Linked DNA regions of Callithrix jacchus. The protein of the gene in region 2 interacts with the protein of the main gene of each other region in a pairwise test. Links are inferred from orthologs where the notes say so. Each region holds a gene or a part of one and is shown on either strand. Other genes may lie near its edges. The genes, in order: UBXN6, TRIM39, EIF4A2, WDFY3, POLI, PSMD9 and MED18.

Region 1 (4,280 bases), on a different chromosome or scaffold from region 2:
CCTAACAAGCTGTCAGGGAGACCTCACCATCCCCTGTTCCCAAACCCAAGAGGGTTGTTGAGAAGTCCAGGTGATGTACCCCATGCCACGCCACCCTTGTGTCAAGACCCTGGGGTCAGCTGACAACAGAACCAGCCTTGCCCTGGCCACGTGACTCCATGCCAGGCTCAGGGCTGTGCAAGTACAAAGAGCTCAGGTAATCACGGCCCTGCCCTGTGGAGCCCTCTGCCAAGGAGGATTCCGTAATCCTCTGAGCACAGTGACCTGGCAGAGCAGCCCTCTCTCCCAGCTGCTCGGATGCGTCTGTCTCGCCCATCTCCTCAGGCCCCTCCCGTGAATTCAGGCGCTGTCACTTTCCATGCTATAGATCTGTAAAAACTTCCAGGAGACCAGGCTCTCAGTTCAAGCCCTATACTCCTCTGGCTCTGCTCAGATTCCCGGGAAGCCCTCCCTCCTCCTCTGGAGGCTTCCGGAACCTGCTTCGTGCCCACCCCTGCCTATCCCGTCCTCCCGCAGCTGAGCAGATTGGGTGGAAGAGATGACTCATGAAGACCCACCCTGGCCCCATCCCATATCTAGGTCTTTCCAACAAAACAGCATTTCCCAGGGTGCCTCACCCCAACCGGCTGTGGGCCCTGCTCCCCCGGGCAGTCACAGGGACCCTTCTGGAACCTCATTCAGGGAACGTCAGCGTCACTCCACTGCATAATGTCCTCCCACTGCAAAATCCTAAGGCCTCCCTCGGCCCAGAGAGCCCTTCCTGGCCTGGCCCCATCTCTCCTGGGCTCCCTGTCGTTCTTCCCACACCCCAACTGCTCCCCGTTGTACGGCCCTGCACTGTCTGCGCCTTCTGCCCAGAATGTTCTCCTGGGGGGTGGGAGGAGGTCAGGGGATCTGGAAAGGGCTAGGGCTACCACAGGGAGAGAAGGAGGGGGCTGATTTCCTCACAGCTGAAGTCTCGCTGTCCTGGCAGAGGTCTTCCCGGACCACCTGGCGGTCCCTGCTCACCCTATTTCGAGGCCCTGGGCACTGCCTGAGCTCTCATCCCAGGCTTGTTGGTTTATTTACCAATCGGCTCCCACTAGGTGGTGAGCCCTGGGAAAGCAGCCGCCTTGTCCTGTCCGCCACTGCAGCCCAAAACAGGACTTGGTGCCCACCCGCCCCACACACCCTGGAGTATCACTCCAAAAGGGACCTCTGCACGCCTTTCCTTTCCTTCCCGTCCCTTCCCGCCCGCCCCTCCGCTCCAATCTTCCCCCCTATGCCTGGGCTCTGGGCTGATCCAGCCATCGCCCTCACACCCTGGATCCTTCCTGTCACGCCCAGTCCCAGTGGCTCTAGTACCCCGTTCACCCACTATTGGTTGAATCAATGAAGGGCTCCCCCCATTTGCCCACCTCTCTCCCTGACCCCTCTGTCCCTGACCCCTCTCCCTCCTTTGCTTTCCTGCTCAGCCTCTCCCCCAGGAACCCCAACGTCCTCACTATGGCCCTCCCTCCATCACCACCCCACTGCCCGTGATTCCCTGACCCGCACTTCCTGCCACCTCCCTGCATCTCCTCCTACCCCTTCCCAGCCCCACCTCTTCACAATCCCTTCCATTATTGCTTATAGACCCCTGCCCTGGCAGCCTGGCTGACCTCCTTCCCCTTCACTCTCCGTCGGTCCCCACCACTCCCTGGCCAGCCAGCTCCCTGCAGCGGCCCCAGCTCTCCAGGTTCCCTATTCTCAACCCAGCAGCCCTCAGCCTCACACTGTCCCCGGTTCCACCTCTTCCCCTACCTTCCATGTGCCATCCCAGCTGGCTTAGCCCTGCCCAGGCCCTTCTCTCGAAGTCTTCCCTAGACAATCCAGAAGTAGGCCTGGCAGCTACCTCCTTTCCCTCCCCTCCCACCACCATCTGTCAGTCCTTCACCTCCAGTCTCCTCGCACACCGTTCTCAGCCCTTCACTCCCAATTCGCAGGGACCTCCCAGGTCACTGACGACTCTGCCCACCACCACTTCCCTGGCCTTCCAGACTTCCTAGTCTGTCGTCAACCTCCCACGTGCTCCAGATCCCAAGCCCACATCCCCTCTTCCCATGGATGCCCCACAGTGTGTGTCCTCCTCCACGCTCAGCTCCCATCCCTGGTCACCCAAATTCCCCCAAATCATCCGGGCCGCTTCAGAACCAGCCGGGTCCCCAGACCTCTCCCTCACCACCCGCCTCCGGACTCATCATCCCTTTTTTCCCCCAGGGTCGCTCCACTGACTCCCAACTTGCTGCAGCCCCGTCGCCCTAGACCCCCGCCACAGCCTCCGAGGCCCGACCACTGACAACTACCCTCCTGGCCCCTTCCCCCGCCTCTTCCCGACCCGCCCCCGGGTCCCTCCCACACGCCCTCCTGCCCCGCCCCCAGGCCGCTCTCCGCTCTCCCCTCCCCCTGACGCCCACGACGCCCACCTAGGCCCCACTTGCCCCGCCCCCGGCACCTCTCCCGTTTCCCTCATTCGCCGCCGCCGCTTTCAGCCCCTCGCCCTCCGATCTCCCGCGCACCTCGAGGCCCCAGACCTCTCTCCCCGGCCGTCCCCGCCCCTCAGGGCCTCAAGCCCCAGCGATCCTCACGCACCCCACGGAGTCCGTGAGCTTCTGACCGGGTCCCGCGCTCTTGAACTTGATGTCGGCCTTGAACTCCTGAAAGAATTTCTTCATGGTGGCGGCTGGCCCGGCGGCTGGGGGCCGCAGGGGCGGGGGGCACGGGGCCCAGTCGGGGAGGGGCCGCCCAGGACCAACCACCGGAAAAAAAATACCGGGCCGCCGGAAGTCCCGCCTCTCCGACACCAGCCACGTGACAATCAGCCCGGCGTGCCGCTCTACGGCTCGGTGCCTCGCGGCCCAGGGCGGACGCTCTGTACGCCGGAGCCGCGTCTCTGTGGTTCTGCCGGACTACGTTGCCAGGGCGACGAGCGCGCTTCTAGATTGGCTACAGTGCCTTGCCTGGCGCCTTCCGTGGGGCTCCATAAACGGTGACAAACGTTGATGGGAGAGGGACAGGCCGACTGAACCTCGCAGAGAAAGTACTGGGCCCTGACCTGTTCGCTGCTCAACCTAAGCTGGGCGCGGTGGCTCACGCCTGCAATCCCAGCACTTTCGGGGAATCGGGTGGGAGGATTGCTTGACTGAAGTTGGAGACCACCCTGGGCAACATGGCAAAACCATGTTTTCCATAAATTTTTTTTTTTTTTTAATTGTTGCCGGGCGCGATGGCTCACGCCTGTAATTCCAGCATTTTGGGAGGCCGAGGCGAGTGGATCACCTGAGGTAGGGAGCTCGAGACCAGCCTGACCAACACGGAGAAACCCCGTCTCTACCAAAAATACAAAATTAGCCGGGCGTGGTGGCACATGCCTGTAATCCCAGCTACTTGGGAGGATGAAGCGAGGAGAATCGCTTGAACCCGGAAGTTGGAGGCTGTGGTGAGCTGAGATCAAGCCATCGCACTCCAGCCTGGGCAACAAAAGCAAAACTTGGTGTCAAAAAAATAATAAATAAATAAATTAGGTGAGAGTTGTGGCCCGTGCCTGTATAGTCTCAGCTACTTGGAAGGCTGAGGCGGGAGGATTGCTTGAACCCAGGAGGTCCAGGCTGTAGTCAGCTGTGATGAAGCCATTGCATTCCAGCTTGGGCCACTGAGAGAGATTTTGCCCAAAACAAAACAAACACAAAACTAACCTTCCCTGTCTGCTCAGAGCTTACGTGATAAAGTCCCAATTCAATGTGGGGCATTGGAGGCCCCCACGATCTGGCCCTGTTTTGGTCCCTGACCGCCCCCCGCCCCACCCCAGCCCATGCACCTTATCTAGGAGCTGTTGAATACAATGCACTTGACTGGGACCTGGGGATCCACTTTGTCGGGCAAGACAGAGAGAAACCAGTTAATAGTGGCATCTTTGGGCTGTGCATTCTGCAAAGAAAGATAAAGTGACAGTTAAGCCTCAAAAAAAGGGAATTGGGGGTCAGTTGCAGTGGCTTACGCCTGTAATCCTAGCATTTTGGGAGGCCAAGTCCAGCAGATCACTTGAGGTCAGGAGGTCAAGACCAGACTGGCCATCATGGTGAAATCCTGTCTCTAAGGGCGCCAGTAATCCCAGCTGCTCAGGAGGCTGAGGCAGGAGAATCACTTGAACCCGGGAGGTAGAAGCTGTAGTGAGCCGAGATCTCAGCACTGCACTCCAGCCTGGTGACAGAACGAGACTCCATCACACACACACACACAGTATTTCAGTTAAAGGCAGATGT
Region 2 (4,183 bases):
CAGCTTGCCTCCACCTGTAAGTTCTCCAAAGCTGCAGCTGTGGAGGCTGCAGAGGCCCCAGCCTCTAACAGACTTGTCTCTGCCATAATTTAACTTGGGGGTGGGGAAGGACACAGAGAAAATAAAAATGTTAATTGAACGTTTTATTTATTTATTTTTGCATCCCTGGCCTGACATTTACCCCTATGTTAAGTCCTAACTCCAAATTTTTGCCCCATCTTGTTATTCTCCATCTTCTCTTCCAATCAATTCAACCTCTTTGTTTCTCCACTTCCAAAACTTGTGACTCCCAACCATCAACTTTTTTTGTTAGTAAACTGACATCCAACCCCTAATCCATCTTGTCTCTTACCTCCGCCTTCTCGTTAGAAAGAGAAGCTTCCTTCAACTCTAGCTCAGCATACTTCTTCTGATCCAGGCTCATTCCACTTGTATCTTAGAACCAATAGTTCCAGATCACTGTATCCTAGTTTGACATATGCTTCTAATAGACAAGAAAGGAATTTGGGAGTAAAAAAGTCATAAAAATATTAACATTTCTTATATCAGTCATATTTTAATGTTGTAAGAGCTTTATGATAAGTCCACTGGAGTCTAAGCTTCATTCTCTGACATTGTTCTCTCACGATATGCAACCTTTTGGCTTCCTCAGGCCCATTGGAAGAAGTGTCTTTGGCCAGACATAATATACATTGACACTAATGATAGCTGATAAGCTTGAACAAAAAAAGGTCTGGGCATAATTTTTGTTGTATCAGTCACCACAGATAAGCAAAAAGAGTCCTCAAATTGAAAGGGTTAGATAACACTGTTCTAAAGTGTGATAAATGGAATGAATGAGGCAAAGGTGACAACCTCTTTTCAGGAAAATCTGAAATTGTTCTTCCTTTTATCAGACTAGCCTAAAGAAAGTATGCCCTCTTCTTGGAATGAAATGTTTCATGCAACATTCCATTTCTGTTGTGTGCATTTGGACACTTAGAACTGCTGAAAACTGATAAATTATGGCAACTACATTAAAGAGTACATTACTGAGCCCAGGCCAACAACTTCTTGAAAAGAGAGGAACATGTCTATTTGTAGTGACTGGAATCTTTCAATATAGCTATTGATAACTAATGCCTGGGCATAGTGTATCATATAGCTATTGATAACTAATGCCTGGGCATGATGGGTTCTGAAGTGGTTGGGAATTAAGAGACAGAAGAGAGGCAATCAGATCTCCCTCAAGTGCAGCCTCAGAAGAACTGGAAATACATCAGAGAGATTTATGAAACAGAAGGTTGGTCCCCCAATCCATCCTAAGTTGATTTATCTATTCCCGTAACCCTTTCTCCCCCTGACCCCCATCTTTATCCAGGGACCTAATGGAAGGAAGGAAATTTGGTAGATCAATGTGCTGAGAGATAAGTGGCCATGTAATGAGGTGGGTTAACAACTGTTTCCGTATATATGGTTGGCACACACAAATGTGTTTGGTTTGGAGTAGGAGCTGATAACTTCTTTGGACTTGAATTTCTTCTGTCAGCAATAGAAGTTCAGTCAGATGATTGTTCTCTACCTGTGGGAATCCACCTTTAACTAGTGGTGACTCTACCCCTTCCTCAGTCTTTTACAAATTAGGTGGCCTCCTCACTTGAGTAGAACTGTATGCACAGTAATGCACCAGGACGATCTAGACTGGCAAAGAAGTGGTGAGGGAAATGGGGAAAGGGTTAGGGAGGAATAGCGAGGACTTGGAGCTATAGCCATAGTGAGACCTTGAGTGCCTCTGGGTTGGTCCTTCCTCTCCATCTACTCCTTGTGTCTCAGCTGAAGGGCAAACTTCAGGGACATACTCATTTTATTTCTACCACTCTTCAGGGTGTCCCACCTTGCGACCCTCTCCTGAGCGGGGGTCCATAATTCTGTCCCACCCCCATCTCCACCTTCTTCCGCCAGATCTGGGGCAGGGGGATTAGAGAAGGGAAAGAGGAGACGTCGTGGTTGACAGGGTAGGGAGGGATGCGTGTCCAGGTGAGGAAGAGGTATGACGTGAAGGTGGGATGCCCGCCGCTATGACGCAGCCGAGACCCGCGGTGACTGCGTCAGAGTTTCACCCGGGGAGGTGAGCAGCAGCGGGACGGGGGAACGGCGGGGTAGCCAAGCAACGCCGGACGCGCTGACGTCGCCGGGGCGGCAAAACGTCCGCCCGGGCCCGAGGCGGGCGGAGGCAGCTGTGGTTACGTGCAGGGGGCCGGTGACGCAGTCGCGGGGCGCTGGGACGCGGCGTGCGGAGCCGGCCGGCGGGGGCAGGCCCCAGGCCCGGGCGCGGTGGCGGGACAGCACCTACCTTCCCGGCTTCGGGTCCGGGAGTGCGGGGCGCGGAGCCGCCGGAGCGCTGCCTCCCTCCTTCCTCCTCCCCTCGCCCCCGCCCCGCGGCGCGACACACAATACTCGCCGGAAGCGGAAGCCGCACCGAGGCTGGTGTCAGTGGAACCCAGGGTGTCGGCAGGCGGTCGCAGCAGGGTCTAGTGGTGCCTGCGGAAGAAGAAAGAGGCCCGGCGATGAGAACCAGCAGGAGGAATCAAGGCCGAGAAGGGACCCGGAGGTGCAGGTGGCCGAGATGCTGGCGTCCAGGTGACCCGAGGAATCCTCTGGAGAAAGAGGCCCGCGCATGCGCGTGCTCGAGCGCTGAAGCCCATTGCCCGCAGGGCGCTGGACGGGCGCCGGGGTCGGCGAGCCTGTCTCGTCCAGGCTCCAGGTCCCGACCCTGGCCAGGCGCCGCCGCTCCCCGGTGCAGCCGGCAGTCGCTGAGGAGGGCGGGGCGAGGGCGGCTTGTGGACTTTCACACTTTTCCTATCTTCGGGCCAGTCCGGTGAGAGGGTGGCTAGCTGTGGCGGCGGCCAATTACGTGGCGGACCTGCGGGACTCAGCTGGCACGTCACTTCCGACTAGTGGTGTTTTGGCCTTTTAACATTCAGGGATTAGGTAAGTTCTCCCCGCAGTAGACTCCAAATGCTCTTTATCCTGCCCCTGCTTGGCGAAATTTACCAAAATTACCCACCCCGCTGTAGTGGGAGCCGGGAGAGAGCTGGAACCGCGACTCTACTGCTCACCTTTGTGTCCTTGGCTCTTTCGCACGGGATCCGACCGCAACACATGGGCCGGATAAACGCTGATTAACTGAGAGCCAAGGTCGGTTCTTTTCACTTCTGGGGCTGTGACTTGACTTTCTCGGCTGGTGTAGTGTTTGTGTAGGGACTGCGGACTTTTGTATTATAGCCTCCCTGTTTTGCTCGCGTGCTGCTGGAAGCTTATCAGATCTGTGATTTTGGTGGAAGTGGATAAGGTGATGAGGCCGGGGAAGAGGTGATGGGGCTGGGGAGGGGTTGGTACTGGGTAGAGGTGTGAAGGAGCTGAGGAGGAGGGGTTAGTGATAGGAGGGGTGTGATTCGGCTGGTAGAAAAGATAGCTAGCTCCGCCTCCCCGCCCCCAACTCTAGTCATGCAGAATGTTGACTGAAAGAGGTGAGCAAATTTTGATGTACTCTGCTTGGTGAGAAAGTGCTCTAGTTTCCGGTGTAAGTTGTGCTGCTGTTTACAAACACCTTGCATTATTTAACCTTTCATCTTGGGGGCCAGAAACTATTTACTTACAGAAGCTATGATTCAATGTCTGAGGTATTTATCACACATGCTAATTACAGCAGTCTAGTTTTTCTTTACTGTTCCTTTTTTTTTGGTGCCAACAATTGATGAAGATTAAATGAGAAAATTACGTTTGATACCTTTTTTCGCATTGCTATATGGCCGTTAGGGATTTTAGCAGCAGTGCTTGTTCTAATTCACAAGATGCCTCACTTGTAAGGGAGTTTGAAAGCCACTAACTGGGCATTGAGCCTCCTTAGCCGTGGCTCCAGAGGGAGAGTGATGATAGATTTGGTTTTGGTTTTGATTTGTTAATTTGTGGTGCATAAGATGTTGATAGCCCTCCTTTCTGGCTTTCTGTTTGTAGATAACCAGGAATGTGATTAGACTAAGGAAATTAACAAGAGAATGTCCAATTCTTTTCTCCCTTTCCCTTTCCCTTTTAGACGGAGCCTCGTTCTGTTGCCCTGGCTGGAGTGCAGTGCCTTGACCTCGGCTCGCTGCAATCTCCGCCTCCCAGGTTTAAGCGATTCTCTGCCTCAGCCTCCCGAGTA
Region 3 (3,986 bases), on a different chromosome or scaffold from region 2:
AACGACAATAAAACATGCCAGATGTATTTGTAACAGCACCTGCATTAAACCACATCTCTTTAAGAGAGGGGTGAAGTAATCCTTACCTGAATACTTGTATTTAGTTTTTGGAAAATCTCATAGATTTGATCCTTAAACCCACGACTCAACATTTCATCTGCTTCATCCAAAACAAACATTTTGATCCATTTTGGAGCTGTTAGAAAAAGGCCATATGTCATCTCTAGATCTACTGGGTGATAGTACGACTTTTCAACTATGTAACAGTTAAAAAAAAAAAGCATACATTTAAAGACAATACTTACAAAGGTATCTTCTGTTTAACATATCAAACACTCTCCCAGGGGTACCAACAACAATATGTGGTGCTTCAGCCTGCAGTTTTTGCATTTCATTTCGAACATTTGTTCCACCAATGCAGGCATGGCAAGTTGCTCCCATATAGTCTCCAAGTGCCAGAATTACCTTTTGGATCTAAAAACCAAGGCTTAATTATTATCCTGCAGAATTCCAGGGTCAATGACTAATTTTTAAAGCATAATGGCAAATATAATCTGGTCTGCCAACAGCTTTTATGCATGCACAGCACAAATCTACTTCCAAGCTTAAAATGCACACTGACCTAACTGCTTCAATGTAAAATTCCCTTTATGTCTTTCTTGTGCCTTGTCAGACTTGGGATGCTGTTGCCCCACACATCAGCTAGACAATTCAAGAATAACATTTCCTACATTATTCTTCACTGTGTGAACGAAGGAATCCATAGTGAAATATATGTTCTGTAATTACAGCTAGGGCAAATGTTGATTTTTTTCTTCCCCAGAGAGTATTGTGCCCTACATAATCTTGACCTCAATAAAGCCTACAGCTTTATTAGGAAGGTTTACTTCAAAGCCAATATAGCAGTGAGCTTTGAAAACATAGCATGCAACAGATGCATCACAAACTACGGAGACAGTCAAATGGTAACATGTCACTGCAGTTTTCATGTTGCACAACTGCATTCAAACTTAAAAAATGGGGACAGATCTAGTATATCCAGAGAGCTTCCGATTCTCAAGCTATTCATGTACAACCCTACAAACCGTACCTGCATACCCAGTTCTTTTAAAACTTTCAACAAAAACTCCCTGCATGCATGGACAATTAAATGGAGGGATCTGGTAGGACCAATTTATACTAAGTTTTAAATTCTTCACAGTTGTGAAACCTGAAACCTATGCAACACGCAAGCAGTTTTTTTGAACTACACTATCAATACCTGTTGAGCCAGTTCTCTGGTGGGGGCCAATACTAGTGCTTGGGTCTCCTTGAACTCAATCTCCAACTGTTGCAGGATGGAAATAGCAAATGTGGCTGTCTTGCCAGTACCTGACTGAGCTTGAGCAATCACATCATACCCTAAAAAAAGTAGGATACATATTTACCGATCCCACATCAAATTGTCACTTCTACTTCACACCATGTATTCCATTTGGAACATGAATTATGCCCAAATAATCAAGTGATCAGCAATGAGTATTCTCTTCATTTCAGGTCAGTCCCGAAAGATGATTGCCATCATTTCACTTTAAGGAATACAAACAGGTGCTAGTCCCCCAGAGGTTACTTTCCCTTTCATGGTTCAGATCTATGTAGAACAAAAATTCATTTCCTAAAAATATCGAAGTTTCTTTTACCTTTAATACAGGGAATAATAGCTCTCTGCTGAATAGCGGAAGGCTTCTCAAAACCGTAAGCATAGATGCCCCGAAGAAGAGACTCCTTTAAATTCATATCATCAAAGTTATCAACAATCTCATTCCAGTTGCTCTGTAAATTAGAAAAAAATAATGCAGGCATAAATGAGATGAACACACTCACCTTTTCAAAGCTTCAAGATCCAAAACCGTTTCTTACCTCGATGACACCATCGGGGTCCATTCCCTCTGGGCCGCCATGTTCTCTGCTGACAATAACACTGCAGTCAGACAACATCCCTTCCAAGCCTCCTAACTGCATATTAAAGGGATAGCCCTTTGCAACCCGTCTCTGCACGTTACCCTTCCGTGCCCGACCTAAAGCAGCCGCTGCACGGCGAGTATCACACTGTGCGCCTCTCTAAAGGTTGGGGGCTGCAGCCGCCCGTGTAGGCAGCCCCCCAGGCCCGAGCGCACGGCGCTCCCGTTTCGGCGGCGGAGCGTCTCGCGAGAGCTCCGCGCCCTGAGCTCCGCCCCCAACAATGCGCAAGCCGGGTGATTGACGCGGGCGGAGCGGCCTGGCGAGGGCGATGCCAACGGTTCGCCGGCACCAGTGCCGGTCCGGTCCCGTCGCCTCCGCGCGGTGGCCGAATGCAGACCGCTGCCTCCAACCCTTCGCCAACTAAAGCCTAGGACCCTCAAGTCGTGCGGTTGACCACAAGGTTCAGGTCCTAGTTACACTGTACCGAACACGGTCTGCGCCAAGACTTTTTGCTGCTTGTTTGCCGTCCTCTACACTGGGAGAGGAAGCAGCTGAAATTTCCTCATGTCTTAGGGAGGAAAAACGCCCCTTGGCCACTGTTTCCGCACCCTCGTCCTGTCTCCCCACAATCCGGGCCCTACCCATCATGGAAGCTTCTCGAAGGGCACAGGGGTGCTGTACCCCAAGGAAGCGTCCATGAATTTTTAGTTTCTTGTTTCCGTGCCATCCACTATCACCTCCCCTGGCGCCCTATGACCTTCACTACAGACCGCGACCGCCAACAGAGCGCCATACCTGTTATAATCCGCGGAGCCACCAGACATGATCCGATAAACCCACTCAGCTCTCGACTGAAAAGACAGCACCACCGCGCCACCCGTTTTTTATAGGCTCGTGGCCGGAACCCGTTTCTCGCGGAGGAATTTTCTCACCGTTCTGCGGCCAGCCACAAAATTGTGATCCTGGGGTCATTACTTCGGATAAAATCCTAAGCAAGTCGGTAGGAAAATACAAATGTGGCAATTTCTAGATACTCCAGGGTCGCTGGAAATCCTAGGGCCCAGGGTTGGGTTGGGACTCTTTGCCTCGCGGCGGAAGAATATCGCTGCAGCGTTTCTCAAACACCGCGCTCCCCGCCCGCCCAGCTCCTACGGGGTTTCCGCGTCCCTGACGCAGAGGCGGGCCAGAGGAGCCCAGCTGGAGCCGGAGGCGCTGCTTGCTGGGCGACCGGGGCTTCCCGCGGGCGAGGGGTCCCGGTTCTCTGCTGGCTGCCGGCGCTCGGGTGCGGGAGGGGAATTCGGTTATTCCGCTTGCTCCCACCGCTGTTTAATTTGACAATGAAGACCTGCCTGGCGTCTAGCCTGACGTTAACATCCATTCAGCTCTCGGAAACATAAAATTCCTGCTAGGGAAAATGTCGGCCACCCAGCGAGTCCCGGAAAGTCCGGTTTACCGGTACATTTTGCAGCGCGAGGAAAAAAATGGGAGTGTCATTTGCAGATGTCTCTGGAATAGCCAATTCTATTCTCATATCGCTTCTAGTGTTTCGTTCTCTTTTTCTTAAAAAGAAAGCTGATTCTAACCTAACAGGTGTGAAGAATGCCTAAAAGAATCAAACTTTTGCAAATGGATAGAAGCCAAGAAGCAGTAATTTTCCTTGGAACGCACGAATGTTAATGGACGCTTTGGGACTACATTGATTTTGATTCCGTCTGTATTCATCATTTTTTAAAAAGGCTTTGAGTTTTGATTGCCGATATATAGTGAAATGTTGATTTATTGGAATTCAGAGCTATATCCTCGCTGCGTAAACTGCACGGGTCTTTAAGCTCCAGATGTTTTCAATTAGCCCCATCTCAGGTCCCTCGGTAAAAATAAAAAATAACGTATATAGTCATTTAACTTTAAATTACAACCCTACCCATGGTGCAAAATATCATCGAGACTATCGGGAAACATTTTCTTATTGATTCAGAAGGCCGACTTAAAGAATGATTACTAGTTGACTCAGTTTTCTATATTATAGAAGTTACTGGTTCTAAATA
Region 4 (2,726 bases), on a different chromosome or scaffold from region 2:
TGGTACGTAGCCAGGTACAAGACGCCCAAATATTCCTAGTTTACCTTACAGCCGGACTTCTATTCTCCCACACTGTTTCCTAAAGAAGGTCCACATTATTTTGGTTACTAGCCTAGTTTAAGTGGAGATACTGTGAGCAACTTGAAAGAAATGACATCAGGCACACAGGCTGAGTTGGAAAGGAAAAAAAGACCACTGATAATGTCTTTGGGGATTTAAAAAAACATATTTATAATTAATTGGTAAGCGAGGGATGTCAGACAAACCATAAGTTGTTCATTGAGTTAGTGGTTTAGTTTGAAGTTTCATGTTACAGGCAGTTAAGTCCTTATTTAGAAAAAAGGCCTTTTATATCTATTTACAATATACATAGTTACTTGCAAAGAAGTAAGATTTACAACCATTTTCTAAAAGCCTTTTTTGTTGTTGGTTTTTCCAAATAAGGATGAGTAGCTCTATAAAAATGAGATGCAAGAAAAGACAGTTAATAAGTAGCTTGGAGACAGCTACTGTCATCACGGAGAACTGGATATCAGAAATGTTGTTCCTAGGAAACACCTCATACTCTTCTTGTGCTGTTCACCTGAATCGCGTCTGCCCCATTCCTGTACTCTACACCCGTTTTATTCAATGATCCCTTTGAATTTTAATACTTCAAACACGTGGTATGAAGAGATGTGTAAACGGAGACTGTTTTCAATGCCTTCCAAGCTGGGACAGGAGAATCGGGAAGGGGTCTACAGACCGTGGTCTCCACTCAGCTTGTTGAATCTTCAACAATTTCGAGGTCCATCTTCTGAACCTCTCTCATGCTGTAAGTTATAATAACAGTTCTGACAAACACGCACCGGGGATGAGATTTTCAAGCGTTTGATTTCAGATTGAAATCGACTGCACCTAAATGAAAGGAAAAGTCAATGAATTATAGGTCTTCTCCATGCTTGATCACTGGCACCAGAAACATTAGTAATTCAATGGAAAGCTTGCAGTAAAATACCAAAGGCCATACTGGTTTGGGTCGTGTGGCTGAATAAGGACTAAAAGGAATGCTGTATTATTTGTTTCAGTCTATGAAGAAAAGTAGTATTAAACCAGGGAAGCTATTTCTTTGAAGAAAATTGAAAAAATGAAAACAGAAAAACAAAGTTAAGATTTTCCTACACAATAAGGCCAAGGTGTCTGAACAGCGGTGTGAGGCCATTCTATCTGTGCAGACTATTCTTATGGCCTATAAGCTTGAAAGGTATGTCAGTGTCTTTTCTTGGAGCTTGACATATTTCTCTTGGAAATTAGAAAAACTCATTAGTGGAAATTTGAAGACTCACTAGTGAGCTAATGAGTATCTAATTTCAAGAGAATTACTAATGACTCATTAGTGAGTCTTCTAATTTCCAAGAGAAATACGACAGTTTGATCACTATCAAGTTCCACTGTGGTTTTAAACATTTTGATTGATCCACTCCTCAATAATTTCTTAAACTGGCTTTCCTTTTCCAGTCCCAATACCCTCATTTCCTATTTATCTTACTAGAACTATTTGAAGGAAACTATTCTTAAGAGATGTTCAAAGTATTTAAGACGTATTCAGAGTTCCTATTCCTGGAATAAAGCTGGGTGTGATTCAGGATGTGGTATTAAATCACTTGAGAAATGAAAAAAACATTTTTGTAGAGATGGGGTCTTACTACGTTGTCCAGGCTATCCTTAAACTCCTGGCCTCAAGTGATCTTCCTGCCTTGACCTCCCAAAGTACTAAGACTACAGACAGAGGCCACTGTGCCTGGCCTGGAAATGCAGATTTATGTTTAGTCCATTAACCTACCAATAAAAGCGTCCAGAGAGTAAATTAAGTAATATATGCTTATGGGTTTAAAGAACTGTCACGGGACCTTACAGAACCCTCAAAAGTGTCAACAGCTCTCAGCCATAGAGACCACAGGTTGTGTGTTCGGGACAGTGCTTCCTTCTGCGCCTGCTTCATTAGAACTTATCACGGTTTGGTCGGTTTCCAATAATGCTTCTATCCAACATTTAATGGCAATTAATAATTTCAAAGAATTACCTATATTTAAACAATATTTTGAAAAGTAAACACTACAAAGAACAGATGTATGCCAGCTTACATACAAGAATGCTATTAGAAATTACTATATTAATAGGGTGGGTGTGGAGGCTGACACCTGGAATCCCAGCACTTTGGGAGGCTGAGGCAGGTATTGCTTGAGCTCACGGATTTGAGACTACCCTGGGCAACATAGTGAGACTTTGTCTCTACAAAAAATATAAAAATTAGTCAGGTGTGGTGGCTCTCTCCTATAGTCTCAGCTACTTGGAAGGCTGAGGTGGGAGGACTGCTTGAGCCTAGGAGAGCAAAGCTGCAATGAGCTGTGATTGTGCCAAACTGCACTCTAGCCTGGGTGACAGAGGAAGACCCTGTCTCAAGGGAAAAAAAAAAACCAGAATATAATATATATATATATGACTAGTGGCTCTGTGCTTTGACAGGCCTGCTCTATAAAACCCATTATAGGTTTTTTTTTTTTTTTGAGACGGAGTTTCGCTCTTGTTACCCAGGCTGGAGTGCAATGGCGCGATCTCGGCTCACCGCAATCTCCGCCTCCTGGGTTCAGGCAATTCTCCTGCCTCAGCCTCCCGAGTAGCTGGGACTACAGGCACGCGCCACCATGCCCAGCTAATTTTTTGTATCTTTAGTAGAGACGGGGTTT
Region 5 (3,500 bases), on a different chromosome or scaffold from region 2:
TGCAGAGTCTTAAGATGTCTGAAAGCTTAATTAGCATGTAAATATCCTTACAGAGCCCTAACACTATCTTCATATCACTCTCATCAAAGACATGTCATCTTATGCTAGTCACTGAATTTTGCAGATTTTCCTGTCCATGACAGCAAGGACATAAAATTTAAAAATTACAACTAAAAAAAAAAAAAAAGAAAAGAAAAAAGAATGACCTGAAGAGGTTTGGCTTTTCGTTTCTTTAAGAGATGGGATCGTCCAGGCACGGTGGCTCACGCCTATGATCCCAGCACCTTGGGAGGCCGAGACAGGTGCATCACCTGAGGTTGGAAGTTTGAGACCAGCCTGACCAACAAGGAGAAACCCCATCTCTACTAAAAATACAAAATTAGCTGGGCATGGTAGCCCATGCCTATAATCCCAGCTACTTGGGTGGCTGAGGCAGGAAAATCACTTGAACCTGAGAGACAGAGGTTATGGTGAGCTGAAATCGTGCCACTGCACTCCAGCCTGGGCAATAACAGCAAACCTCTGTCTCAAAAAGAAAAAAAAGAAGAGATGGGATCTTGCTCTATTTCCCAGGCTGGACTCAAACTCCTGGGTTCAAGCAATCCTCTCAGCTCAGTCTCCCAAGTAGCTGGGACTATAGGGGTGCACCACTGTGCCCAGCTGGGTATGGCTTTCTAAAATGTGAGCAGATGCACTGTCAGATAAAAACTCTGCACAGATGAATGCTCTGTGCAGATGAACAGGAACAATGTTCTGTGCAAATGAAAAGTGCACAGAGCACTGAGCCACATCATGAAAATTTTAATACTTATTATAGAATAGCAACACCTAATTTTAGCCGTCCTAGACAGATTACAGACTAAATATAACTATACCTCCAACAAAAGTCATGAATCTTTCAGAATCACACAGCAAACTCACTGAACATTAAGAAATATATGTACTTTTAGTTAGTAGGTAGAATAAGAGCCCACTCACACTGATTATTGTATACATGACCCAACACAGTCACTGCAGAAAGTTCGTCGCTTTGCAGCTGCTGTAGTCTCTTCTCAACCATTTCTGTTAAATCCACAAAATTTTCATCAAATCCAAGCCTCTCAACAACTGGACTAAATTCTTCCAGTAATTCTAAATTGAAATAATATTGGAGCACAGATATAAATAATAATAACTAGGATAAATTTAACTGGTGCTTAAAAATGTATCAAATTTATTGTTAAAGGTTTTATATACATTCATAGTTCCATAATATCTTTAATAAAACCCTCAGTTAACTGAATTCTTTCTGTACCACATCTTAAGTTGAGGCAATATTTTCCAAAACATCTAAAAATGACATTCCTAGGGCAGTTCATGGCAACATATTTAGCTAAATCTTCCAGACCTATAATTTTTATATCTGTAGTACATTAAATATCAATGTTTATAGTAAATTTATGACCTTGAAGAAATGTGTCAAAGAATAAACTATAGGCTGCTTATAATAGTATATTTTAGCTATATTTTCCCAAGAGTTTAAATGAGGCAAAACAAAATAACATTTAAAAGTTACAATTATTACTAAATAAAACAGAAAGTCAGTCAACTTTCAAATTATACTGTAACATGGTATTTTTGTTAGCCATTCCCAAGCGTATTACTTAGGACAGAGAGAGATGAACCACAACTTACAGATATTCCAATTCCCAGCATCTAGCACAATATCTAGTCCTTAAGTCAAATGTTTACTCTATTGAATTGAACCAAAATTCAAAATAAATTCAAAAGAACTATCAATTTTCATATATTAACACTGAGACTAATAACTTTAAAATCATTGAGAAAGTTTTTTAACTTCACTCTTAATCACCTACCGACACCAGCTGGGTAAGGGAAAACAAATGCAAGTCTCTTAATATACAAAATGCATAGATCCTTAAAGTCGTATAATCTGAAGCTCAGAAATAAAAGGACTATGTCATTCCACACAGATTGTTTTTTCCACAAATACCAAAAGTGCTTTTTGGTTTGGCTGATGTCAGCATTGACAATAAGGAGAAACCAATAAAGATAACAATGTGACATGGTGAACACCAAAAATCTCCTGATTTACCTAGAGACAACCATTACCTCCTCTCAGGACAGACTGACAACATGTCTGATCATATAAAATGACTGTTTTGCATTTCCTTTATCAATTTCTGCAATTTAGTTTCAAAAGCATATACCTGACATGCAAAATAAGATGTAGAAAACAAACGAGTTTATCAAAAGAATACTATATAAGAAAAATAAAGGGTAAGGTTTAAGTACTAAGTAGAAAAACAAGTTAAATACAGAATCACACATGAAGCTGGTGGATCACTAAACATTGATTGATTTTAGGTCACAAGACAAATCCCTAATTATCCCAATCCTGAAGGTTTTTGCTGTTGCTAGTTTTAAGGAGACAGGGTCTCACTGTGTTGCCCAGGCTGGAGTGGAGTAGCACACCACAGCTCACTATAGCCTTAACCTCCTGGGCCCAGGCAATCCTCCCACCTCAGCCTCTGGGACTATAGGCACATGCTACCATTCAGCTAATTTCTTTTTTTTAATTTTGTAGAGACAGGGTTTTGCTATGTTATGTTGCCCAGGCTGGCCTCAAATGATCCCCTTACCAGAGCCTCCCAAAGTGTTGGGATTACAGGCGTAGGCCACCATGCCCAGCCTCCATCCCTAAAGTTAACCTCTTTCTTGGTATCAACTTCACAAGCAAGATACATTATTAAACATGTCATTATACAAGGCTCAAAGGAGGAGTTTCTAATTAGAGGGAAAAAAACTACCTTGAAGAAAGGTATACATGCAGTAGAATAAATATGTGAAATAAATAATAAGGTTATATATCATAAACAGGTCAGAGATAAATACAGTAAAGGACTAATTGGCTAGGTTCCCACTTCAACTCAGAAAAATACTGTAAGGAAAAATTGATAAAATAACTTAAAAAAAGAAAAACTTTTTTCACAAAAAAAGTGACATAAAAAAGTACTAAGTACTTAGTACTTAGAAAAAAATGAACAACCCAAATAAAAAACAGGTACAAGTGAATAGGTTAACAGAAAAAAACACATAAATGACCAAAAATATATGAAAAAATACTCAACCCTACTCATGAAAAACTACAAGTCAAAACAATCCTCTTCTCCTATCAGGCAAAGACTTTTTATCTAACACTCTCACATATACCAGCAATATGCTGGGAAACCTCAAGTGTAACATATAACAGTATCCAAACATTGAAATGCAAATCATGTTTGATCCAACAATTCACCTCTAGGAACTTACCTTATGGAAATCCCTTTAAAAATATGCCAACATTTCTACAAGAAAATGCCTAAGAGCAAAAATCTGGTAACAGCCTAATAATCCATTGCTATGCAGGGAAACCATATAACTTATCATCTAAAACAAGACATTTTTTGAGTGAAAGGAAGTGTAATTATTAATTATGTAGCAACAACAGGCATAAAGTT
Region 6 (3,500 bases), on a different chromosome or scaffold from region 2:
ATGGCTGGAAAGTGGCTGCCTCAGGAGGACAGGTGATGAAAATGTGAAATTGTGATGGTCGCACAATTCTGTGACTACACTGAAAACTACTTTAAAGGGGTGAATGTGTAGTATGTGAATTACTCTCAATCAAACTGTTGTAAAAATAGTAAAAATAAGCTGAGCACAGTGGCTCACACCTGTAGTCCCAGCACTTTGGGAGGCCGAGGTGGTTGAATCAACGGAGGCAAGGAGTTTGAGACCAGCCTGGCCAACATGGCAAAACCCCATCTCTACTGAAAATACAAACATTAGGCAGGCATGGTGGCAGGCACCTGTAGTCCCAGCTACTCAGGAGACTGAGACAGGAAAATCACTTGAATCAGGAAGTGGAGGTTGCAGTGAACTAAAATTGTACCACTGCACTCCAGCCTGGGTGACAGAGTGAGACTGTCTCAAATAATAATAACAATAAATTTCACATGGACTAAAGGAAAAATAAAAATAAACCAATAAGAGAATTAAAAAGAATTTCTTTAAGCAGACACAAAATGCAAGAGCCATAAGCAAAAAAACTGATAAATTTTACAAAATCACCATTTTATTTTTATTATTTTTATTTTTTTAAGAGACAGGGTCTTGCTATGTTGCCCAGGCTAGAGTGCAGTGGCTATTCACAGGTGCAATCAATCCCACTACTGATCAGCACTGGAGTTTTGACCTGCTCCATTTCAGACCTGGGCCAGTGCACCCCTCCTTAGGCAACCTGGTGGTCCCCCCGCTCCCGGGAGGTCACCATATTGATGCTGAACAGTACAGACACCCAATCGGCATAGCGCGCTACGGCCCAGAACTCCTGGACTCAAGCAATCTTCCAGCCTCAGCCTCCCAAGTAGCTGAGACTATATGCACACGCCACCGCGCCCAGCAAAATCACCATTTTAAATGTCCATATGAATTACAAATTTGATGACAGTATCGGTGCAGAAACGATGGCCTGACCACTAGGCAGGGCACAGGCCCCTGCCAGCTGTCTCCTGACTTGACCCAGCCCAGCCTGCACTGATGGGTTATAGCCAGCTGTCTCCTGACTTGACCCAGCCCAGCCTGCACTGATGGGTTACAAGAGGATGAGCAGTGCAGCTGAGCAGGAGTCAAAAAACCCAGAACTGGGCCAGGCGCAGTGGTTCACGCCTGTAATCCCAGCACTTTGGGAGGCCGAGGCGGGTGGATCACGAGGTCAGGAGTTCAAGACCAGCCTGGCCAACACTGTGAAACCCCATCTCTACTAAAAATACAGAAATTAGCTGGGCATGGTTGCATGCACCTGTAGTCTCAGCTACTTGGGAGGCTGAGGCAGAAGAATCGCTTGAACCCAGGAGGCGGAGGTTGCAGTGAGCAGAGATCCGACCACTGCACTCCAGCCTAGCGACAGAGCGAGACTGTCTCAAAAAAAACACAAAAACTGTTGGTTAAACTGGAGACTTCATTTGGGAACAAAAAACTTTAGTTAATAATTTCCCTGGGCTTTCCCAAAATATCACTCCTGATAAGTGTGGATCTTTGCTAAAAAACAACACCAAAAAAAATTCCAGCCTGGACAACATAGCAAGACCTCATCTCTACAAAATATAAAAAAATTAGCCAGTGTGATAGCTATGATGGTGCCACCACACTCCAGCCTGGGTGAAAGAGCATGACTCTGTCTTTAAAAAGAAAAGGGCTAGGCACGGTGGCTCACACCTATAATTCCAGCACTTTGGGAGGCCAAGGCGGGCAGATCATTAGGCCAGGAGTTCGAGATCAACCTGGCCAACCTGGTGAAACCCCATCTCTACTAAAAATACAAAGGCCGAGAGCAGTGGCTCACACCTGTAATCCCAGCACTTTGGGAAGCCGAGGCAGGCAGATCACAAGGTCAAGAGATCGAGAACATCCAGGCCAACATGATAAAACCCCGTCTCTACTAAAAAATACAAAAAATTAGCGGGGCGTCGTGGCACACGCCTGTAGTTTCAGCTACTCAGGAGGCTGAGGCAGGAGAATTGCTTGAACCCGGGAGGTGGAGGTTGCAGTGAGCTGAAATTGCACCACTGCATGCCAGCCTGGCACCTGGTGATAGAGTAAGACTCTGTCTCAAAAAAAAAAAAAATTAGTCAGGCATGATGGCGCGCACTGGTAATCCCAGCTACTCAGGAAGCTGAGGCAGGAGAATCGCTTGAACCAGGAGGTGCAGTGAGCCAAGATAGCGCCACTGCACTCCAGCCTGGGTGACAGAGCGAGACTCCATCTCAAAAGCAAGAAAAAAGAGAAAGAAAAGATCTCTAAGAAACTTTGCTAAATGAAAACAGGGACAGGATAGAGGAGAGGGGAATTTGGGTTAAGGTAGCCAGGAAAGGCCCCCTGCGAGCATGTTACTGGTGTAAAGCAGAGGGAGGATGAAGAGGAAGAGCATTCTAGGCAGAAGGAACAGCAGGTGCCAAGGCCTTGAGTTAGGCTGTGCCGAGCAACACCATTAAGGCAAGTCCAAGGCCTCAGCAACACTTCCTGCCCCAGCAACTCCAGGGCTATAGTCTGGAGGCTGAGTGCTATGATCTGGATTTCTGTGCCCCCCTCAAATTCATATGTTGAAATCCTAACAGCCAATGTGATGATATTGGGGGGGGGTCTCTGCAAGGTGATCAGGTCATGAGGGGTGGAGCCACCACTGGGATTAGTACCCTTATACAAAAGGTTCCAGATTTCCGGCTTTCCACCACGTGAGGATACAGCAAGAGGGCACCACCTAGAGGCTAGGAAGCAAGCCCACCCCAGACACCAAATCTACTGGTGCCTTGATCTTGGACTTCCCTACCTTCAGAGCTGTAAGAAATGAACTTCTGTTGTTTGTAAGCCACCAATCTATGGCATGCTGTTAGAGAAGCCAAAACAGCCTGAGACACCAGGCAACCCCACTCACCCCCTCACTGTGCTGCACCACACTGCCAATGTTATGCAGAGACTGGAAGTTCTGGGTGTTCACAGAGCCAAACTCCACAATCTCATCATCCACTTGCAGACCCTGGAGAGGGAAGGAAAAATGAAAAATCAGATTAGAGGTTCAATGTGCTCCTGGTGTTCTCTAACCTTCAATACCTAATTTAATGCCAAGGTCACGAACTTGTTTCCTACAGGGAGGGCCCAAAACTGAGGTAAGGGATGTTGAAACCTCATGCAGGAAGAGGCAGTGGGTAATGGGGCCACCTTCCCCTGGCATTCCTTTGAGGGCAGCTCTAGTAAAGATGACCAGGTCTGCCCAGTGTCTGAGAGTTGGCAGTTACCAGACACTGTGAAGGCCTTGAGGAGCACGGGAAAGGCTAAATGCTGCTCTCTGGGGTCCTAACCCAGATTCAGGGGTAAAAGAAGGCAAGCCAGGCTAGGCCATTTTATTCAGTGGTCAAAATTTAGACAAGATATAGTGCGGGCACAGTGGCTCACACCTGTAATCCCAACACTTTGGGAGACTGAGGCAGGCTAATCAC
Region 7 (2,976 bases), on a different chromosome or scaffold from region 2:
AGCAATCCTCTTGTCCTGCCTGCCAAAGTACTGGGATTATAAGCATGAGCCACCATACCTGGATGCTAAGTCTATTTTCTTTTATTATTATTTTTTGAAATATTACTACACTACACTGTAAGTCCATTTTAGAGGACAAAAAGGGAAGGGTACCTGCCTTACTGGTAGAACTGGCTCTACTATAAAGCCTTAATAATAAAAACATTGTGTTGCTGTCACTGAAACAAAGAAAAAAAATGAAATGAAATGGAGAACTTAAAAATAAAATACCTACATGGAAACCTATGTGACAATGGTAGCAGCACAAAGCACTGAACACTGTTCTTTGGATGGTGGTAGAAAAACGAATTCACTGCCAGGAGAAGAAACCTGGGTTTTTATAAACCCCCTAGAAAATGGACTCTAGATGAATTAAAGATCTCAATGTGAAAGTTAAAACTATAAAGCTAAGAAGGAAAATCTGTGTTACCTAGGGGTAAATAAAGACTTCCTAAACAAAATTCGAGGCCACTGCCTTTATTACCATATAGCACAAGCTCACAGCCTCTAATGTTATAAACCTTACACACAAATGGCCAAACAAGAAATTTTTATTTCCAAAACCTAATTTACTCCAGTTTCTCCTCTTTATACAGTGGGATTAGATAGATTCTCTGTGATGTCCTGAGCCTTTAATGTAGAAAGGCTGTCATGAAAACGAAATCATCACGAGGCATCCTCCTCCCTGAAGGAAGAATGCTGGCAGTGGTGAAATGGAGCATTTAAAACATTTTTTCAAACAAGTAAGGACAGGCCCCAAATGTGGAGAGATTCTCTTAGTCACATGAGCCTCTTGGGGTCTATTTTTTCTAGGTGAACCAGAGGTTTTAGCTGCTCTGCAAAGTTCCTCATGTCATCAGAAACCATGTCCTGTCCAGCGGGTGCAACTACGCTTAATTCCACGAGATAGGAAAGTGACAAGGCCTCAGTGCTGTCTGTGTTCCCTGGCACCAGGATGCGGAAAATCTTGTAAACCATAATCTTCATGATGCCCTTTCGGAACAAGTGTCCCTTAGCAACAAACTCATGGTCCATGCGGAAGCCCATTTCCATCAAGAAGTCGGTGAGGTTCTCAGACGTGGCAATGTCCACGCAGTTTCGCACCAGGGCGTGGCGATTCTTGTCTCCCATTTCTGGTTGTCCCAGGTAGCGCAGATGCCAGGGTGCCCCTGCCCTGTCCATAGAGCGTCGGGCCCTTAGAACAAATGGGCTGGCTTGCTGGCCCTTAAGGAGGAATACCATCTCATGGTCAAGGAAAGTCTCAGGTTCCATGTTGTCACACAAACCACGAAGGCGGTGGATGAGGCTTTCCAAACTGTGATCTAAAACACTTCCTGAAAAGGGAAAAAGCACCTCTGAGTCCTATCTTTCCTTTTAGGTCATGGAATTAGCATAAAATTGAAAAAAATTAAAATGAAAAACCAAAGCAGTTTAGTGAAGCATTTCACAACACATAGGGCCAACACATGAGATTTTAGAGGAGTTACACTAGCAAAATATTGTATAACGTTGTGAGACAGTTATTATTTTCCTTTTCAATTTTTTGGAATTTTCTTATTTAGTACTACAAAGTCTTTAGGCCTTCTCTAATGCTAATTTCCAACATGCCTTGGACTTAGAGCCTTTAATCAGCTACAGTGTCTATCTAGAATGTAATAATACTGGCTGGGCATGGTGGCTCATGCCTGAAATCCCAGCACTTTGGGAGGCTGAGGTGGGCAGATCCTGAGGTCAGGAGATTGAGACTACCCTGGCCAACATGGTGAAATCCCATCTCTACTAAAAACACAAAAATTAGCTGGGTGTGGTGGCGCGTGCCTGTAATCCCAGCTACTCGGGAGGCTGAGGCAGGAGAATCACTTGAATCTGGGAGGTGAAGGTTTTGATGAGCAGAGATCGCACCATTGCACTCCAGCCTGGATAACAGAGTGAGACTCCATCTCAAAAAAAAAAAAATTAATAATACTGTTTTAGCTATGTATTTATTTATTTGCTTTTATAGAAATGGGGTCTCACTACATTGTTGTCCAGCTTGGTCTTGAACTCCTGGCCTTGGTCTCCCAAAGTGTTGGGATTACAGGCGTAAGCCAACATGCCCAGCCAATAACACTATTTTGTTGTCATATACTTTAACAATTGCCTTCAATTTCCAACAAATAAAAGTCTTTCATTTATAGAAGAAATATAAAGTTTCCTTTTTTTTTTTTTCCTGAGATGGTGTCTCGCTCTGTCACAGGCTAGAGTGCAGTGGCATGATCTCAGCTCACTGCAACTCTGCCTCCTGGGTTCAAACGATTCTCCTGCCTCAGCCTCCTGAGTGACTGGAATTACAGGCATGCACCACCATGCCCAGCTAATTTTTGTATTTTTTAGTAGAGATGGGGCTTCACCATGTTGGCCAGGATGGTCTCGATCTCTTAACCTCGTGAACTGCCCACCTCGGCCTCCCAAAATGCTGGGATTACAGGCGTGAGCCACCGCGCCCAGCTAAAGTTTCCTTTTTATCAGGAAAAGCTTTCCTCTTCTGTATCTAAGTAGGAGAGAATTAATTGCTTCATAGAATCTTCATCCCCTTGGCAACATCTGAAATGGTTGTTATAGTAGATTATACCCACTGTGAAATCTATTCTTCCCTTGGCCTCTGAGACACAACTCTCTTGGTTCTTCACTTAACTCGCTGACCATTCCTTTTAAGTCTTCTTTGCTTGGTGTTTCTCATCTTCCCTAAACACTGGAGGACTAGGACTCAATATTAGTCCTCTCTTGTATCAATACTCTTTTCCTCCCTATGTGACATTTGTGTCATCTTTTTTCTTTTGAGACAGAGTCTCGCTCTGTCGCCCAGGTTGGAGTGCAGTGGCACAATCTTGGCTCACTGCAAGTAAAGTTAATTTTCTTCTTCTTCTTTTTTTTTTTCAAGTTGGGGTTTCAGCATAT

What was found.
Region 1: the proteins of TRIM39 (region 2) and UBXN6 interact in binary tests that used the Homo sapiens proteins (3 or more experiments, as listed by UniProt). The link is inferred for Callithrix jacchus from reciprocal best matches to the Homo sapiens genes TRIM39 and UBXN6.
Region 3: the proteins of TRIM39 (region 2) and EIF4A2 interact in binary tests that used the Homo sapiens proteins (3 or more experiments, as listed by UniProt). The two-hybrid records come from large-scale screens. The link is inferred for Callithrix jacchus from reciprocal best matches to the Homo sapiens genes TRIM39 and EIF4A2.
Region 4: the proteins of TRIM39 (region 2) and WDFY3 interact in binary tests that used the Homo sapiens proteins (3 or more experiments, as listed by UniProt). The two-hybrid records come from large-scale screens. The link is inferred for Callithrix jacchus from reciprocal best matches to the Homo sapiens genes TRIM39 and WDFY3.
Region 5: the proteins of TRIM39 (region 2) and POLI interact in binary tests that used the Homo sapiens proteins (3 or more experiments, as listed by UniProt). The two-hybrid records come from large-scale screens. The link is inferred for Callithrix jacchus from reciprocal best matches to the Homo sapiens genes TRIM39 and POLI.
Region 6: the proteins of TRIM39 (region 2) and PSMD9 interact in binary tests that used the Homo sapiens proteins (3 or more experiments, as listed by UniProt). The two-hybrid records come from large-scale screens. The link is inferred for Callithrix jacchus from reciprocal best matches to the Homo sapiens genes TRIM39 and PSMD9.
Region 7: the proteins of TRIM39 (region 2) and MED18 interact in binary tests that used the Homo sapiens proteins (3 or more experiments, as listed by UniProt). The two-hybrid records come from large-scale screens. The link is inferred for Callithrix jacchus from reciprocal best matches to the Homo sapiens genes TRIM39 and MED18.

What each region holds. Positions count from the first base shown.
Region 1 is NC_133523.1:4,202,917-4,207,196, forward strand, and holds the start of UBXN6 (UBX domain-containing protein 6), read right to left. Parts: upstream 2,801-4,280; 5' UTR 2,694-2,800; coding exon 2,611-2,693; intron 2,145-2,610; exon of another isoform or gene 1,797-2,144; coding exon of another isoform or gene 1,783-1,796; intron 1-1,782. UniProt on the Homo sapiens protein: May negatively regulate the ATPase activity of VCP, an ATP-driven segregase that associates with different cofactors to control a wide variety of cellular processes.
Region 2 is NC_133505.1:35,052,398-35,056,580, reverse strand, and holds the start of TRIM39 (E3 ubiquitin-protein ligase TRIM39), read right to left. Parts: upstream 2,801-4,183; 5' UTR 2,441-2,800; intron 2,425-2,440; exon of another isoform or gene 2,333-2,424; intron 485-2,332; 5' UTR 353-484; intron 94-352; 5' UTR 87-93; coding exon 1-86.
Region 3 is NC_133516.1:15,751,232-15,755,217, reverse strand, and holds the start of EIF4A2 (eukaryotic initiation factor 4A-II), read right to left. Parts: upstream 2,801-3,986; 5' UTR 2,766-2,800; coding exon 2,737-2,765; intron 1,949-2,736; coding exon 1,900-1,948; intron 1,813-1,899; coding exon 1,680-1,812; intron 1,572-1,679; exon of another isoform or gene 1,503-1,571; intron 1,402-1,502; coding exon 1,262-1,401; intron 475-1,261; coding exon 306-474; intron 197-305; coding exon 87-196; intron 1-86. UniProt on the Homo sapiens protein: ATP-dependent RNA helicase which is a subunit of the eIF4F complex involved in cap recognition and is required for mRNA binding to ribosome.
Region 4 is NC_133504.1:113,000,769-113,003,494, reverse strand, and holds part of WDFY3 (WD repeat and FYVE domain-containing protein 3), read right to left. Parts: intron 898-2,726; coding exon 774-897; 3' UTR 1-773. UniProt on the Homo sapiens protein: Required for selective macroautophagy (aggrephagy). Acts as an adapter protein by linking specific proteins destined for degradation to the core autophagic machinery members, such as the ATG5-ATG12-ATG16L E3-like ligase, SQSTM1 and LC3.
Region 5 is NC_133514.1:97,474,867-97,478,366, reverse strand, and holds part of POLI (DNA polymerase iota), read right to left. Parts: intron 1,132-3,500; coding exon 979-1,131; intron 1-978. UniProt on the Homo sapiens protein: Error-prone DNA polymerase specifically involved in DNA repair. Plays an important role in translesion synthesis, where the normal high-fidelity DNA polymerases cannot proceed and DNA synthesis stalls. Favors Hoogsteen base-pairing in the active site.
Region 6 is NC_133510.1:125,105,493-125,108,992, reverse strand, and holds part of PSMD9 (26S proteasome non-ATPase regulatory subunit 9), read right to left. Parts: intron 3,041-3,500; coding exon 2,939-3,040; intron 1-2,938. UniProt on the Homo sapiens protein: Acts as a chaperone during the assembly of the 26S proteasome, specifically of the base subcomplex of the PA700/19S regulatory complex (RC).
Region 7 is NC_133508.1:65,007,660-65,010,635, reverse strand, and holds the end of MED18 (mediator of RNA polymerase II transcription subunit 18), read right to left. Parts: intron 1,374-2,976; coding exon 820-1,373; 3' UTR 501-819; downstream 1-500. UniProt on the Homo sapiens protein: Component of the Mediator complex, a coactivator involved in the regulated transcription of nearly all RNA polymerase II-dependent genes.